2 linked regions of the Coturnix japonica genome follow. The protein of the gene in region 1 interacts with the protein of each later gene in a pairwise test. Links are inferred from orthologs where the notes say so. Each region holds a gene or a part of one and is shown on either strand. Other genes may lie near its edges.

Region 1 (4,547 bases):
GACATGCACACACCTCCCCCCAGCAAAAAGTGTGCTGTGTAAATGAGGGAGAATGAAGGGGAACTTGGGAAGGCCATCAGAAGGAAATTAATGTGCTTGTTTAACGAAGTGAGGCGTCGTAAATCACGTTGTAGCATCATCGCACCACAGGGGTCCATTTGGGAAGCACACGACTCACCAACATCATGCTTTGAGAATGAAGGAAACGACATTTCAAAGGATGCAGGAGATGCAAATGTTCTTGGATTTGAAGTGCACACTTGTGTGTGTCTTAAAAACGACGTTGGTTGGTTGGAATTGGGTGATCTTCATGGTCCCCTCCAATTTATTCTACGATTCTATGCAAAATATGCTGGCAGTCGATAAAAACAAGCATTATCAGTTTTCACTGTATTATCTTCAGTATTCAGCCTGTACCATATGCAGCCAAAAGCTGTGTGGCCCATCACGACAGAATTATTCACAGTAAGAAGTTTATTATTAAAGACATGAATCATTTGAAATTATCCGTGGGGGAAATGTAAGGAGAATCCCAGGGAGATCTGTTGGCACGACAGTGCAGGGCACTCGGGTGGCACTGATCCAGACACATAGTGAGGAAATGCACAACTGTAAAGTGTTTCTGTGGTTGCTTTGGTTATGTTTGGGATGCTTACAGACATGATGTTGGGTTCAGGCTGCAGGGCACACTGCTCAACCCAGGTGGTGGAATCACTGACCTGGAGGTGCTCAAGAGGAGGGTGGATGTGGGACTGAGGGATGTAGGCAGTGGGCATGGTGGGGTGGGGGTGGGTTGGACTTGGTGATCTTAGAGGTCTTTCCAACCCCAGCGATCCTATGGGGACAGATCCTGAAGGCATTCTCTTACTGCATCTACCTCAGCAGTTGTGTTTAGGAACCTGTGGAGATGCTGATGGCCATTCACTCCAAAGCATTCACCTTGAAGCTGTCCCTCAGAAGTGACACTGGTGTCCACTTTTGACATTAATTATGAGTTTCACATTAGGGAGATGAACCGATTTGCCTCTTTGTTCACCAATAAGGTCTCCCACATCTCCTCCATCACCACACTTACCTCCTGGTCACCTGGAGACACCAGAACCGCATCATTGGCTGCAATGTGGATCTCAAGCCCTGCGCAATGTTCCTTCTAATGGACGAGGGGTTTCAGCAGCTCTTCTCAATGTCTCCTTAAAACCTAAAGGTTAAAAGTGGAGGCCTGGCTCAGAACAGCACTGCCAAGCACCAAAATGGAGCTGTCTGCTGGTGGTGAGAACCCCATACAACTCAGTAACCGCAATGGTGGCATTGGGTGCTCAACACACACCAACCCAAAGCCAGGAACTGTATTATATAGTTATAAATATATATAATAAGGTTAGAAAAGGCTCCTATGATCACCATATCCAGCCCCTACCCAACCAGGGCCCTCAAAACTCTATCTCCACTACTTCTCCACACGGAGATGTGGAACCTGCGGACAGCGGGGATGGGATGATGGGCTGGGGATGGAGATGGGGTTGGAGATGAGGAGGAGGCCATAAGGACCCCATAGATAAGCGCAGCCCACACACCCCCCCCCCCTTATCTCGCCCCACTCCACCGCCCCTGAGGAGGCGTTGGCGGAAGCCCCGCCCTCCGCGTGACGTCATCGAGACGCCCACCAATCCTTGCAGAGCATCTCGGCCCCGGCAGGAAGTGACGTCACCGTCTCCCTCCGCCGCCCGGTCCCCTTTTTGTGTGTGTGTGTGGAGTGCGGCGGCGCCGCGTGTATCCCCCCGCCGCGGCTCCTCCTCCTCCTCCCGCCCCCCCCGGCCCTCCGCCCGCCGCCCGATGCCACCTGCGCTGCGCTCCCGGGGCTGAGGGACCGCGCGGAGCGGGGAAGGTGAGAGCCGGGCGGAGGGTGGGAGGAGGAGGAGGAGGAGGCCGCGGTCCGTTATGTGCCGTGGGCGGAGGGATCGGGGGGGGGGAGTTGGAGGTTTGAACCGCTCTCACACCTGGGATGTGGGAGGATTGGGAGGGATTGAGGGCGCGTACAGCACAAAGCGCGAGGATAATGGGGGGGCGGGGGAGGAGCTCCGGGCGAGGGATCCTCTCACACCCCCCGCGATCGCGGGATGCGGATCCTACACTCCCCGGCCCGTCCCCCCCCACCCCAGAGCTCCGTCCCCCCCCCCAACATTGGTGGGCGGCCATGTTGGGCACCGGGCTTATTTCTGCTGCCTTTCTCCCAGGCACGACGCGCTCAGCCCGGAGCGGGGCCGCGTTCTGTGCCGACAGGCCCTTCCTTAGGCCCCGTGCCCCCCTGCGGCCTGCAGCCTCTCCCCGGCCCCTCAGCGCTGTGGGGCGCTCCGTGGTGATGGAGGGGGGTCGTGGCCCGTCAGTCTTCGCACCGACCCCGTGGAAGGGCGCTGAGCGCAGGGCGGTGCTGAGCGCTGCTTTGTGTCCGTGGCTGTTGGTGACACGGAGCCGTGGGCCGGTGGGTGAGCAGCCCCCGCGCTGTGCCCGTGGTGGTGGAGCTCGGGGCTTTGGGTGCAGCACTGCGGGGCTGCGGGCGGGGGATCAGAACGGCCCTTCCAGCCCAACCCAACTATCAAGTGGTAGTTTCCAGCCCACCCTGTTCGTTCAGGGGTCTGGAAGTTCCCATCCAACCCAACCCATTTGCAGTCCAATCCATTTGCTATGGGAATCCTTTCTGCCTTGAGCTGTTTGCTAAGGGATCCTTTCCAGTCTGTTCACAAAGTGATTGCTTCCAACACAACCCAACTCGTTCACCAAACAATCCTTCCCAGCCCTGTGCTGTCTGCTAATTGATCCCTTCCAACTCAATCTAACCAGTAGGTGATCCAACCCAACCCATTCGTTATGAGATCCCTTCCAACCTGAGCTATTGGCTTAGGGCTCCCCTTCAACCCAACCCATTCCATGTCTGTATGGTCCCACACTTCTCCTGACTGCACCTGCTGAATCCAGGTGTTGAGCTGTCTGCTTGCTGTTGAGCTGCTTGCACTGTTTTTACCCCCACTTGCACTGTTTTTACCCCCACCACGCTGTGGTGCTGCCCTTCAGTCCCATAGAAGCCCAGTGGCTGCAATGGGACACCCCAGCTCTGTGTCCCCTGCTCCACTCCATGCTGTGCACAGGGTTGCACTGCCCTGCAGGAAACTCATGCCACAGGACAACATGCATGGTGTTAGTTTTATTAGCTTGGCTGTGCTGGGGGTGGAGGATGGGGGGATCTGTTGCTTCTTTTAGGAAACGGTTTGTGAAGAAATAGAAGTTCAGCATCTTCCCTGTGCTGGGTCTTGCTGTGCGCTGATGGTTTGAGGTTGCTGCAGATGGGAAGTTGGATCCTGGAGTGCCATACCTGGCTATAATTGTATCTGCAGTTGTGTTGTGCCTAAGAAGAGAAGTGAAGCCGTCCCACAGCTCTGAGCTCTGTCTGGGCCGGGGGGTTCTGCACGTGTTGCTCACAGATGGCAGCGTGTTGTGGATATATATGGCTGTGTTGTTTGTGTGCACGATCCCACAGCTGCTTGGAGTCTGTCAAAAGACCAACGACTGTCTTTGCTCTGACAGACCTGCCCCACGCTCCGTGCCATTGGCAGGAATGGAGCTGCAGGCAGCTTGTGGGCTCCAGAAGCAGCTTCAGGGTAGTCTCATGTTGATGAAATACACCCCAAGTATTCAGCAGAGCTGCAGAGACAGAGCAGAAAGCGGTTTGTTTTCATCACTCAGCACTTCCAACTTGAAGGTAGATAATAATCATTAAAATTGAGTGTAATAATAGATTTTAATTAGTAGGCATGGCACACATCAAAGCCTTTAATAAAATACAGAGGGCTTTAAATGATGGCATTCAGAGCAAATTTAATACGGCTGTGGAAGAACCTGGGTACCCAGCAGAGCGCATCAGTCAGTGCAGAGTGAATTCACCTCCGTGTGAGGGATGTGGCTGCTGAGCCTCCACCTGCTCCCTTCTTTCAGAGGTGTTGCTCATGATGAATGGCCAAATAAACACTAATGAAAACATCATCCAACATTTTCATCACTGAGATTATATCAGCTCGAAGCCGTGCCAGTTATTCATTAAGAGCCACTGAAGAACATTATCTTTTCTTTAGGGAAGGGATTGTGGCGTGTCTTGACAGCAGGAACCTTTATCACAGGATTCATTTGCATTTAATGTAACCTCTTAAAAAGTTAAGGTACGTTCCTTGCCATGAATACACATTATTAAGAGTGAGTGAGAAAAGTAACCAGACAGGAGTTGTGTTGAGCCTGCGTGTCTACCAAGGTTGGACAAAATGGGAGAGCAGCGGGCACTCACAAGTTGGTTTATGTATTAATTTCTATCTTGGAGCGTGTTGAGTCATCTCCAGCTCGTCTGTAGGTCTCTTAGGAACGGATCCTTGATTTTAGATCTTAGATTTTCTTCTCCGGACTCTCAGCATGGAGGTTGTTTTACAGCAAGTGGTGAGGAAAAATGAAGGGTCAATTAATTCTTAATATGTATTTTTCGCACTGATATTTGTCCTCGGGGAGCT
Region 2 (4,720 bases), on another chromosome or scaffold:
CATCACAGCCTGAACCTCTGATTAACCAGCTGAGGCAAGTGTCAGGTCAGCTGTGGGAACACAGGTGAAGGTAATTCAGTTGTGCTCCCCGAAGGGGTGGAGATTGATTCCACCTCTCCTAGACCTCATTTAAGGGCTGACCACCACTAAGGCAGCATCTCTTGGAGATTGCTCCCCTGTGGAGATTGGATAACCAGCCTATTTTCCAGCCAGACTGAAGGCATCTGTATTGGTGAGTTTTTCCTATAGATAACCTTTTGGATATCTGTCACTATCCCTCTTGTATTATTACCATCTTTGTATTATTTCTACCTTACAACCACCATCCTTATATTATTCTCACACTGTCTTTTTAATGAAACTGATGATGAGCAGAAAGCTGGCAAGGCCTTCTCACTGCAGCAAAGCCTTTAGAAGCATGGCATGAGTAACCCATCTCCACTTGCTAAGAGATCCAAAAATAGAGGCGAGGTGTGAATATCCTATTTGTTGCACTAGGGTGTCAATAGAAATTCCCCATCAGGGCCTCATCTACTATCAAAGCCTGCACATGGGTAAGAAGTGCTCACCTCTGAGCACAGCCCGACTGCTACTTTCCAGAATATTGTATATTGGGTCTCAGGACCAGCAGTAGCTGCACCAGCTCACGCTCCCATAGAAGGGGTAGACTGATGACTTGACAACCTAAATTAGATGCTTCTAAATTTTCTCTATCAACAGATCATTCTTCCCTGTCAGATCATCCCTTGCACCCAGGGCAGCAGGCACCTCATCACCAAAGCCATGGGGGAGAATCAGATGCAGACAGCTCATGGGAGATCCAGATATAACACAGGAGATCCAGATATAAAGGTGGGAGAAATAGTTTTAACATTTATACTCTATCAATGAAATATTAAACATTATTATGTTCTTCTTTCCTGCACTTAAATATCTGACCCTGAGTCACCTGACAGTGATACGTAGCAAACACAACCTCCTGTCTGCTGCTCTTCCCAACCTGACCTGTGAGGATATAGAGCTCGTGTGGGTGCAGTGTATGGGTTAGAAAACGTGGATCTGAGAGTCCTCTGCTGTTATGAAACAGCATGTTTAGGGGACAAAGTGCTGTGTTTCTGAAGCTACAGAAAGTACTACGCAAGGATTTACTGTCACATTGTTGTATTTAAAATGAAGTGCGTATTCCAGCAAACCAAGAATTAATGAAATACACCAGCCACTACAAATCATTTAATCACCACCAATTGCTCCACTGCCCGCCAACACCCACAGATGCGCATTGTTCAGTTATGGCTTTAGGAACCCTCTATTATAGAGTGGGAAGAGATGTGGAACACCCTTGGCGTTTATGTTGACAGTGGTGGAAGTGACAGAACACATTGATTTGCACAGAAGGAAGGACAGGCTGTCCATGTGCTTCTGTGAATCACTAATATCCGTCTTGACCAAAAACCTGTTTTGGTGACTTAAATTTTGCTTTAAAAAACCAAAGCAAACATCTTTGCTGGTGGTGGGGAAGGGACCGAGTACAGGTGCTGAATTTCTAAGGAGTGCTTGGTGCTCACGGTGGATCTGCAGTTGCTTAATGACCCTAGGTCAGTTTCTAGTCCTTTATTTAAGAAACAGGAAAATTGTTTCTAACCCCAGGAAGAGCTGCTTTTCACAACAGTGTTACTCCAGAAGCATTGCAATGCTTAAAAGGGAGAATTAAAAAATAAAAATCTGGAATTAAAAGCCATATGGTCTGCAAAAATAAAATATATGTATCTCCTTGTGTATGACTGGGAGGCGTAATAACCTTCGGTTGAAAAACATTTTTAATAAGATCCGCTTGCCACGTCACTTGGACTTATTGCCGTGCACAGAGATGCGGTTATCCAGGTTTGGAAGCGGGAATCGAGTCCTCTGTCCTAGGGAACGAGGCGGGAACGGCCCGCAGCTGCGGCACCGGCGGCGGTTGAGCCGGCGTGGCGTGGGAAGGCGCCGTCGTTGACATTTGCCATTAAGGTACGGACAGAGGTCGGATCCCGCCGGTCGTGCGGCACCCGGAGCCGCGGGGCGCCGGCACCGGCGGCTCCGAGCGGAGACCGACCGCCTCGGCCGGAATCGGGTTCGCCGCGGGTTAAAAATACCGCCGGAGCGCCCGGCTCCGCTCGGAGGCGTCGGGTGCCGGCGCGGGGCCTCCTGCGGGCGGGCCGGGCTCGGGCCGCGCCGGCGCCCCGCGGGACGCGGCTGTCGGCCGGCGGCTTAAGGGAGCGGGGCCCCGGCCCGGCCGGGGGAGGAAGAGCGGGGCAGCGCCGCCAGCGCCCGGCGGCGGCGGAGGGGCGTCCCGCAGCACGGGCGAGCGGCCGATCCGCGCCCCCCGTCCTCGTCCTCCCGCCGCGGGGCCGGGGCCCTCCCCGCCGCGCCGAGCGCCGCCGCTGGCTGCCGCCGGAGTGGCCCGGCCGAGCGGCCGCCGCCGGGGCCGGCTCCGATCCGCCATTATCCTTTGTTCGCGGCGCGGCGGCGGCGGGGACGGTGCGGGGCTCGGCTCCATCTTTAAGGCGGGCGCCCCTCCCGCGGGCGGTGCGAGGCCGGGCTCCCCGCGTCCCGCCGCCCGCCGGCCGCCCCGGTCCCCGCCGGGCTCCGTTTCCTTCCCTCCCCCCCGCCCCTGTTCGCTGGGCGCCGTCCTCCTCTTACCGGTTGCGGGCTGCTCCGTCACTGCTTTCGTTCGCGCCTGGGATCTCGCCGCAGTTTTATTCTCTCCCCCACGTAACACACCGCGTCAAACTACACCTCCGCCGCGTCACTCACACACACACAGGCGCTCCCAGCCCGGCGACAGGCAGGCAGCGGCCGACTGAGGAGCGCCAGCCAGGGAGCAAGCGCCGAGCGCAACGCGGCCCGCACGGAAACCGCCGAGCGCTCACGGAAACCGCCGAACGCGCGGCGGGCGGCGGGAACGGCCGAGCGCGCCGCCGGCCTCCTCGGAAAGAGCCGAGCGGGCGCGGAAACGAACGAAGCGGCCCGGAGGGGTGGCGGAAAGAGCCGAGCGGCCGCGGGAAGGCGCGAACCGCGCTTCCGCCCCAGGCGGCCCGCGGGGCGGGTGGCGTTGGCCGCCAATAGACCGGGGGCAGAGCCGGGCAGAGCGGGGCAGAGCGGGGCAGGCGCCGGGCAGGGAAGGCGCAAAGCGGAGAGACGGCAGCATCGGCCGGGCGGCGTCTGCACCGGGCTGCACCAGGGACGGGCCGAGTCACACGGCTCCTGCGGGCACGGAACGGGCAGCACGCTGCCACGGGAGGCTCCAACAGGAGCCGGTGCCGCCCCGGGGCATCTCCAGCACCGTCCTGTCGGGCCCACAGGGCGCACCTTGTCCCGCAGCAAGGAGAGCCAACTTCACCTGCTCCTTCTGCACGATAAAAACACAGCGCAGTCTCGTATAAAGCGCTTTTATCTCTCGAAACCTCAAGATGGCACTGCACAACAAGGTTTGGAGCTCTGTGCCTGGTACATCCCCAGCAGACAGCACGGTGCGTGCCGGCTCTGCCCATCAGCAGCACCGGGCTCCTGAGCAGCCTCGTGTCCTCAGGAAAGCCAAATAAATGGGTTTCAGTTGGACCGTGTCGTGTAAATCCATCCCAAATTAAAAGGCGGTGCAGGGAACGATTGCAGGTTACTCTGTTTCTGTTGATTATAGTTATTCTAAATGAAAATGAAATAAGCCAGAATTGACTTATTTTAAAAAGGGAGGTCAGGTTAAACTGACAGCACGTTGCTAATAACCCCATAATACAGCCTGGGCCACATCTCATTTTCCACTCCCGTTGCACTTGTCCCCTTTGTCCTGTCTGCAGGTGAGGAGCTTCAAGGCTGTGAGAACCTATGTGAGAAAACGCCTACGATGAGCGGAACAGACTCAGTGCTCTGAGTGTCTCCTTTCAATTACTGCATTTCTTTATCTCTTTTCCCAATCCTCTTCCCTCCTCGTGTTGATCTTGGTGCTACATCATCTTTCTTTGCTCCCTGGTGGATGTTCTCTACACATGCCAGTTTCCCAGACCTGCCTTTCTCACTGTGGGGCAGCAACCTTGAAGGATCACAGCAGAAAACCTTCAACAATAAATTCCAGCCTTTGAAAAGCAACCAAAAGGCACGGACCAGGCCTCAGACAGTGTCTCCTACAAGAAGCCCCAGCTGCACGCTAAGCCAGAGCAGCAGCAGTGCTGCTGATAGGACTGGGTTATAGCTGGGCCCTGAGCTATATACACAGGCGGGCAGCTCCTTGCACAGCTCTGATCCTGCTGCCCATTTAAGGTCTGGATGATCCTCTGGCAGTCCCACTGGCCATTCCCAACCCTGCACTCACTTGGGGCTTTCAGCAGCACTTCTCAATGTCCACCAGCTCAGCTGCAAAGGGCATCTTGCAGCAGTGGCTGCTCCTTTGCCAGCCAGCATAGACTCCTCATTGCACAGATAGCTCGAGTGCAGTTTATCTCAAACTAAAACAGATGCCTCGGGTAGGTCACATGCCTGGAGTCATTTGAGATTGTGCCAATGTTATGTTTCTGTGGTATTTTCATCTCTTGCCCATGGCTGAGGCTAAGACCATATGTGGACTGGAGCTGGCTTCAGCCCTGACTCACGCCGATTCAGAGGCAAGGCTGGGAGAACATCTCGTGTGCAGCTGCTCTGAAACTTTCTGGCAGCTGTTTTGCACATTCTTCTTTCCCTTCCAGGGTAT

The links.
Region 2: the proteins of POGZ (region 1) and CREB1 interact in a two-hybrid assay, tested with the Homo sapiens proteins (2 studies listed by BioGRID and IntAct). The link is inferred for Coturnix japonica from reciprocal best matches to the Homo sapiens genes POGZ and CREB1.

The regions. Positions count from the first base shown.
Region 1 is NC_029540.1:2,345,781-2,350,327, forward strand, and holds the start of POGZ (pogo transposable element with ZNF domain), read left to right. Parts: upstream 1-1,709; 5' UTR 1,710-1,885; intron 1,886-4,547. UniProt on the Homo sapiens protein: Plays a role in mitotic cell cycle progression and is involved in kinetochore assembly and mitotic sister chromatid cohesion.
Region 2 is NC_029522.1:10,661,550-10,666,269, forward strand, and holds the start of CREB1 (cyclic AMP-responsive element-binding protein 1), read right to left. Parts: upstream 2,899-4,720; 5' UTR 2,680-2,898; intron 1-2,679.